2 linked regions of the Arabidopsis thaliana genome follow. The protein of the gene in region 2 interacts with the protein of the main gene of each other region in a pairwise test. Each region holds a gene or a part of one and is shown on either strand. Other genes may lie near its edges.

Region 1 (3,753 bases), on a different chromosome or scaffold from region 2:
TAATCAATTAACTTTGAGGGTTCAGAAGAGTCATTGGCAACAGACAATGTATCATCACCAATTGTAGCGCAAGCAAACACACATTTGGTGGATAGAAAAAGGAAGAGTGAACCGGATTCAAAGACCTCTTTGAGACCGAGCCATATTTGATCCAGCAGCATTGGGGAAAATGGCAGGCGCTTTGTCGGACATGGTAACTGCTTTGAGGTCAAGGAAAGCTGATTCCATAACGCAAGAGGATAGATTTAGTATTACAAACTGAATCAATGTGCTTGACGAGGTAGACATGGTTACTAGGTAAGTACAAGAAGAAACATTTGATTGAACTCTGGTGGTTTTCTTTCACAATTACAATATCCATGTCATGATGTTCTCTCAACATGTTTGGTGAACAAAACAGCATTGTACAATGAAGAAATGTGAGAAGGGAGAAGAAAAGAAATGTTCCTTAGAGCAAGGTATTTAGTCATCGTCCTTGAACTCCCTGACCAGAAGAAAAGAAAAGAAAAGAGAAATGTGTTAGTATCTCTACAATGTGCAAAAAACAGAGTGGCTCCTGATTCACAGTAATCGTATAGTATAGTACCTTCGATCAAGGTATCGAGGTTGAACACCAGAGCCTTGACAAGTAGTGCAAGTTAAGGAACCAGCACCATCACAGTTGATACAGTTTGAGACTTCTTTCTCTCCTCCACCAAGCTCTACGGTCACATTACCACTTCCCACACACAATCTGCATTTCTCTGCTCCACCACCAAAGAAACTATTTCTTCAGAAACATCATAATATGTTTATAAACATTTTCGACACATCAAACATTTTGCTCTTACACAAATCCAACCAAAATGCTAACAAAAAGTTGAGAGAGATCCACTTACGAGCTCCGGTGCCATTACAGGGAAAACAAGGTTGAGTATTCTCTCGCTTAGCCTATGAAAGTGTAAAATCAAAACAGTGTTAACTTTATTCCACAGCAATGCACTCACTTAGAAGCATTGCCAAAACGGTATCAAATTTTCAACAATGAGAATGAGAAGACTCACCGCATTGTCGATTTGAGTCTCGTAGAACACAGGGATTCCGATTCCTAATGCGACGCTTGCTACGCCTACAGATATCGCGACTACCTAGAAAGATAATCAAAATCGTTCATCAATAAAAACTAGTGAGAAGAGAACAAAGTCTATATAGCCAGAGATGAGGATCAAACCGTGTTGGGATCGAGTTCAGCTTTGATTCGGGGATAAGATGTTGACGGCGACCGGAGATTCCTCGCCGAGAAAGAAGAAGGAGTGAAATTGATGGGACAGTGAATGAACGGAGAATGAAGACGAGGCGGAGATGGAGCTGAAACTGGCATTTCGACTTCTCTTTGTTTGGTATGAAGCTTTGCAGAGAATCGCTTAAGCGCGCGAAGATGGATGAGAGGAAGAAGAAGAACCAGTAGTTTTGGGTTAATCTCAGCCACTAGATTATGTTTCCATGGCTAAGATTTGTTCACGTGGCTTAATAAGATATTTAGTATTTATCTCCTTATCCACTAATCCACTGTTAACTGTAATCCAGTTTTCCGAAGCGTATTGGAGAAGAGGAAAACAAGATACGGTGTGGTGAGATACGATACACCCGCTTAAACGTAGACGATCACAACCGTCAAGTATAAATCCAACGGCTGATAACGTCTAAAAGTCGTGATTGTTGACTATTTAAAAACCGCACTGTTTCAAGTTGAAACTCACAAGTAGAGAACAAATGAAAAAAGGATTCGCAAGTCACTATCCGATACCGTTTTGCTTCGCCTTTTCTCCATCTTTTGTTTCTCCATTCGCAAGTCACTATCGTACGTAACCGTCGTCTATAATTCGTTCGAAATCATTCTTCTCATTCCTTTTTCGCCGAAACCGTTTTTCTGATAAGGTATGTGTTATTGTTCAATCGCTTAAACCGTTAATATCTTCTTCTTCATATTAGCCTTTAGGAAGTGTAATCGTTTGAAGGCATGCATCAATATTGTTTAGTTGATTGTTTTGTCTCTGTCTTTTTGTATTTTGGATGATATAATCATTTCAATGAATCGGGGTCGAGAATTTAATTCTGACAAGCAGATTCTTTTGTTTTTTTTAAACGTTTTAGCAGGTGATCACAATGATTGGATCGTTTCTGACAAGAGGGCTTTTGTATGTTATTGATCTCTTCTTTTAATTTTATAAAACACACATTTCTTTCAATCAAACTAAGTAATGAATCTTTCTATTTATTGACAGAATGGTGTTTGGATATGCATATCCTGCTTATGAGTGCTTCAAAACGGTCGAACTCAACAAGCCTGAAATTCAACAACTTCAGTTCTGGTGCCAGTATTGGTATATGCATACATTCTATCCTTTATCTATAACCTTTTTAGGTTCCTATATAAATCTTGCTTCCTTCCACTCAAAACATCTTTGCAGGATTATTGTAGCTGCTTTGACGATTTTCGAAAGAATTGGTGATGCTCTTGTTTCTTGGTAGGCTGTTTATATTACTTAGAAAACAAAGAGTTTTACAGTATTGTATATTAGTATTCTTATGTTTTCATGTTGTCTTGAAGGTTACCAATGTATAGCGAGGCGAAGTTGGCTTTCTTCATTTATCTCTGGTTTCCAAAGACTAAAGTAAGTAATATCTTATATATCTTTTGATTCAACTGACTTTTTCTCTAATTTTTATTACCTATGTGTTATATCATTTCAGGGAACAACATACGTTTACGATTCTTTCTTCAGGCCATATATAGCAAAGCATGAAAATGAAATTGACCGCAACTTGGTGAAGGTAAAGACTAGAGCTAAGGATATGGCAATGATATATCTCCAAAAAGCAATCAACCAAGGGCAGACCAAATTCTTTGAGATCTTACAGTATATCACAGAACAATCAACACCAAAATCTAAGGCTGAGGTATATTTATTTCTTCACCTCTCTACTCTTCTCTGTTTCATTTTAACATTTGACTTGTGAGTGAACTTCAATAAAAAATCTTGCTCGTTTTTCTATTTGTGAACAGGAAAAGAAAGAGACAACAATACCTAAACTCGATGATCCAATTCTTAAGGTGAAAGAAAACGAAGTCACTAAATGAGGTACGTAGAGTCATTCGAGAGGAAAACGTTAAGCCTGACTCGTGGGAAACTATTGGGGAAAACACACTGTACTAACTAACTATGCATCATCTTCTTTCTTTTAGTCGTTACTATGAATAAATCATGAATCTCAAATGTAAATTGCTTCGGAGAAAAATAAAAAGGTTGCTTTTTAACCAAGTATCATGAGAATCTAGCTTGATATGGGCCTAAACCCAAATTCTTCTTTCACACGTTTAATGGTGGCCCAATTCTTTACCAGCTTATGTCCCCATTCTCTTAAATCTAGTGGTGCTCCGTATACATCTGATTAGGATTATAATCTTAGATGTTTGAAAATGGGTTTGCGATATGGTTATGATCAGTAGTATCCATAACCCATTCAGACAGTGAAATAATTCTCATACATGAAATACATGAGTACAAGAGACAATTGAAATTTGAGTAGGATTTAGAATGATGTTTGAATATCGAGGTCTTCGATGGAATGATCCGTCAAAACTCGCAAAGTATCGCAATTTGTTGTAGATTAGGTTAAATGGGACGGATTAACCCGCTCTGACATCTCCTACCTAAATCTTTAATTTTAAAATTCAAAAAAATTACACTAGTAGGTCAATATTACATTTTA
Region 2 (3,753 bases):
AATGCTCTTGCCAAGGGGAAGCTACTCTATAGAAATTTCATGTCCAGAGGATCCACTAAAAATCTTACAAAGATCAGCTTCCTGCAACATCTTGCAGGTTTTTGGGAAGAGAAACATCCTGAACGAGAATATTACTTTCATTATCTATCATGTAAGACACGTCTAGTCCCTCCAGAACCAAGTGATAAACAATTTCCTCATCCAATGTATCTTGTGGCTTGTTCCGTTGCGACATTGATCGTATGTCCCATGACAGGACCTGCGTGATCAAGCTCCTAAACTCATCTGCTGAACTATATAGAGACTTCTTTTCCTGCGCGCATAGCAACTATTATGTTAAAACAGTAAATGGAGAAGAGATGATCAGGTCAGAAGTCACTCACTATCAGTTTCCAGCAGCTGGTGATGGATGAAGAGAAGGTATCTGAGAAAGTCACAGAAGCCACAGCCAATGAGCAGTCCTCCTGAAATTCATATTCAATTTGTTTTAATCTTTACTTGTACCTACTCAGGTAAGGACGCAGTTACTCACAATGATCTTCAAGTCTCAGCAGTATTCAGTTACATAGACGAAAAACTTAGAAAGATCAATTCACAAGAATGTACATTACCTTTACCCAGTTTGGCACTGAGGCTCCTTGAATACTGTCCGAGTATGGTAAATATGGTTTGATGTCGAGCACCGGCTGTCCAAAACCGTCAAAACAATCAACGAACTACTCATTACTCAAAAAGCTGACATGAGTAAGGGAAAGGAGAATTACAGTCCCATCCACCAGATCGACACCAGAGAGGAGAACCTTATCCTTTTGGATTTCCTCCACCTAAGGATTAATCACCATTAAGTACTTTTGGTCAAGATATTCAATATGTCTTTATTAACAACAGGAGGAACGGATTACGCTCAGAAAACCTTAGCAACGGTGAGGCCAATGGGACAAGGTCGATGAGGGGACCGCGTAGCAAAGACTCCCTTCCGTTCCCCATTTAGCCGTGGCACTCTCACCTAAATTCACAACACCCCAAAAACCTCAGACTGAGTAACATCATAACATAGAAACAAACAAAAGAAAAGAAACATACCTTTGCCTTGAGCTTCGACTGAGATGGTTTTCTCCATAGCTTCTCGATATCAGTATTGAGATGAAACACATAGAGTATCCAGCAATGAGAATACTCTTCAAGACCCTCAAGAGACGCAGGAGGAACCAAAGCCGGATCAAAGATCAAACATGCCCTCGCAAGAGAAACAAGCAATGGCTGCCTCGGTGTCCCGTTCCTGCAAAAACCAAGAAGTAGCACTTAAGAAGCCAATTATTTTAAAACAGTATAAAGCTCCCCTGAAACTGGAAAGCCATGAGGATCATGTTACCTAGTAGAGAAGCAAGACTGGATAGTGCCAATAGGTCGCATCGGGTATATTGTGCTGTGTAAATCATGTGACTCAGTCTGTGCTAACGCCTCCCGTAAAGCCTACAGCTTTCAATTGCATCAAGAGAGTGAACATAAATCCATAGAGATTTCCTCCAATCTTGACAAGTATCAATTTTGATGTGCATTTGAATGATTTGAATCTAAATTCCTATATTTCAGAGACTAGTACAAGTTAAAAAAAAACTCACCTGCTGAGCTTTGACTCGACCTTTTCTCTCAGAAGCACTTTTTTCCAAGGTAGATCCCAAAGACTTCTCAAATTCCTTGATCCTATTCTCCAAATCTTCTTCTCGTCTTCGCCATCTATACACTTCGCAAGAACATGCTCAATAAAGTGTTAGTTTCTCGAAACCAGCTCAATAACAGGTATTGGGAAGAGGAAGTGACAGAGAGGTAGAGAGAAAGAGATTACGCGAGAAGGCAGCGGATACAGATACTACGGCGAGTGTAAAGGCTAAAGCCGCCGTGGTAGAGCCGTGGGAGCGTCCTGATGTAGCCATAGATGAACTGTTTGCTGCGACGGCGAGTGGAACGTTGCGACGGCGGCGGGAATGTATCGGTCCGGGAGTCAAATCGGTTTTTACTTTTAGTTATGGGAGAGACAGTTATAATAACTGTAAGGCCCATATAATTATCAAATGCTTAAAAGTCCAGCAACGGCCCACTGAATTTGTTGGATTTGCCTATATTTTATGTTCTGTAAGTAAATACTAAACTTCTTTCTCAAAAAAAAAAAAAAAACTAAAATTTAACGAACTATACACAACTAAATTTATTTTTTTCCATCAAACAATTTCATTTTTTTTGGTGTGAATCCATCAAACAATTTCATTGAATTCAAGGCAGAATTAATTGAAAACCTAAACGGAAATATTTTCTTAGAAATTGTTACAAAAGTGTATGTTTGATTCTTATTTAAGTGTAAAACTCTTTAAATTTTGTTCTTTTACAAATGGCAGGATTTGACATTTTGAAACAAGGGAGGATTTACAAAGTGTATGTGTTTAACAACTTAACTTGCATGAACACAACATTAGATTTGGTCACAGTTGAGAGTAGAGAAAACCAAATGAAACTTAATTCATTCTAAGTTGATGGAGTGAACAAATGGACAACTGCAGACCAATAACCAGCCAACTGCAGTTATAAATAGCAACCTCACGATTTAGTAAAAAAGCCTTTCATTTATCAACAACACTGAGGAAGTATAAGTAAACCATACCTGAGCCAGAATACCCTTCCCCGTTTGAGCTTCGATCACCAGCCCTATCATGAGTCCTATGATTGCCCATGCTCCGTTAATAGCCTCTATTTCACGCCTTCTCTGTAAAGCAAACGAGAGAATAAACTTCTGTGCTATCTCCACAAATCTTGTATACAATTTATCATCATTCGTCCAGAGGGTTTATTTCCTCACCTGTTGCTTTTCTCTGCCTTTAATCTCTTCCATTTGCTTACTAGCTAACCGCTTAGCCTCAAGAGGGTCTACCATGATTACCTCTTTTTTTACCTTTGCTTTTCCTGGAGGAGGAGGAGGAGATACCTACAAGAACACTCAGCATGTCAGTAAGTTTAAACCAATGGTCATATCATATCAACCAACAAGAAGATCAAACATGACATGAGTATGACTTGGTGTCCTGAACGAAAACACTACTAAGATAGCAAAATCTATAACTGCAAAAAAAGGTTAATGTTATACATTTGGGTTCGCTAGGACTCGTACTACTCCAACTCTGGCTCTGTTGCCCACCAACTTTGCATCTTGGTGTCTTCTTAGTCCCTTTCTGATGAAAAATACATGTTTATAATGAATGAGAAGTTGTCTATTTATCAAACGTAATGATAACAACTGATCAATGACTCCTAAATTGGATAAAACCAATGCTTCTTCTTCATGATCTTATTACCAACTTAGATTAACAAATGTCATAAAAGAAAAGAAGAAATAAAGCTGGCAATGGAACAAACACAGGGTATGTAAGTAAGTAAGAGAAGAGAAGCAGAATAAGAGGAATGCTTATCTCATGTATAGAATAACTATCAATTCGGTACCAATAAGTAAACTTATCCAAAACGCAAGAGCAAATATTCACAACACAAGTGTGATTATGTGAAATGAAACAGATCCAATAGGAACTAAACCGCTTCCAAACTATAAACAGTTCACTGATTACATTTGGATCTTAAACACGATGATGAATAAAGGATTTGAATTTCAAACATTACTCATAGAAAGCATCTTAACCCAATCAACAGAGAAGAAATCAAAGTCACAATTGGAGAAATCTCAATTACCCAAAATGGATTCTGATTTTA

Evidence for each region. Proteins that work in one complex are often made in the same cells at the same time.
Region 1: the proteins of AT4G28020 (region 2) and LQY1 interact in a two-hybrid assay, tested with the Arabidopsis thaliana proteins (one large-scale study listed by BioGRID).

What each region holds. Positions count from the first base shown.
Region 1 is NC_003070.9:28,421,811-28,425,563, forward strand, and holds the start of LQY1 (DnaJ/Hsp40 cysteine-rich domain superfamily protein), read right to left. Parts: upstream 1,711-3,753; 5' UTR 1,361-1,710; coding exon 1,211-1,360; intron 1,128-1,210; coding exon 1,044-1,127; intron 931-1,043; coding exon 879-930; intron 744-878; coding exon 587-743; intron 485-586; coding exon 463-484; 3' UTR 1-462. Other genes in the region: HVA22G (HVA22-like protein G), read left to right, coding at 2,146-2,177, 2,265-2,507, 2,591-2,654, 2,734-2,940, 3,047-3,121. UniProt on the Arabidopsis thaliana protein: Protein disulfide-isomerase probably involved upon formation of a complex with HHL1 in maintaining photosystem II (PSII) activity under high light by regulating repair and reassembly of PSII complexes.
Region 2 is NC_003075.7:13,933,316-13,937,068, forward strand, and holds the start of AT4G28020 (tRNA-thr(GGU) m(6)t(6)A37 methyltransferase), read right to left. Parts: upstream 2,165-3,753; 5' UTR 1,935-2,164; coding exon 1,847-1,934; exon of another isoform or gene 1,745-1,846; coding exon 1,623-1,744; intron 1,622-1,622; exon of another isoform or gene 1,474-1,621; coding exon 1,373-1,473; intron 1,280-1,372; coding exon 1,084-1,279; intron 1,007-1,083; coding exon 914-1,006; intron 825-913; coding exon 765-824; intron 687-764; coding exon 612-686; intron 465-611; coding exon 384-464; coding exon of another isoform or gene 369-383; exon of another isoform or gene 318-368; intron 314-317; coding exon 74-313; 3' UTR 1-73. Other genes in the region: AT4G28025 (uncharacterized protein), read right to left, coding at 2,521-2,571, 2,657-2,758, 2,852-2,977, 3,137-3,221.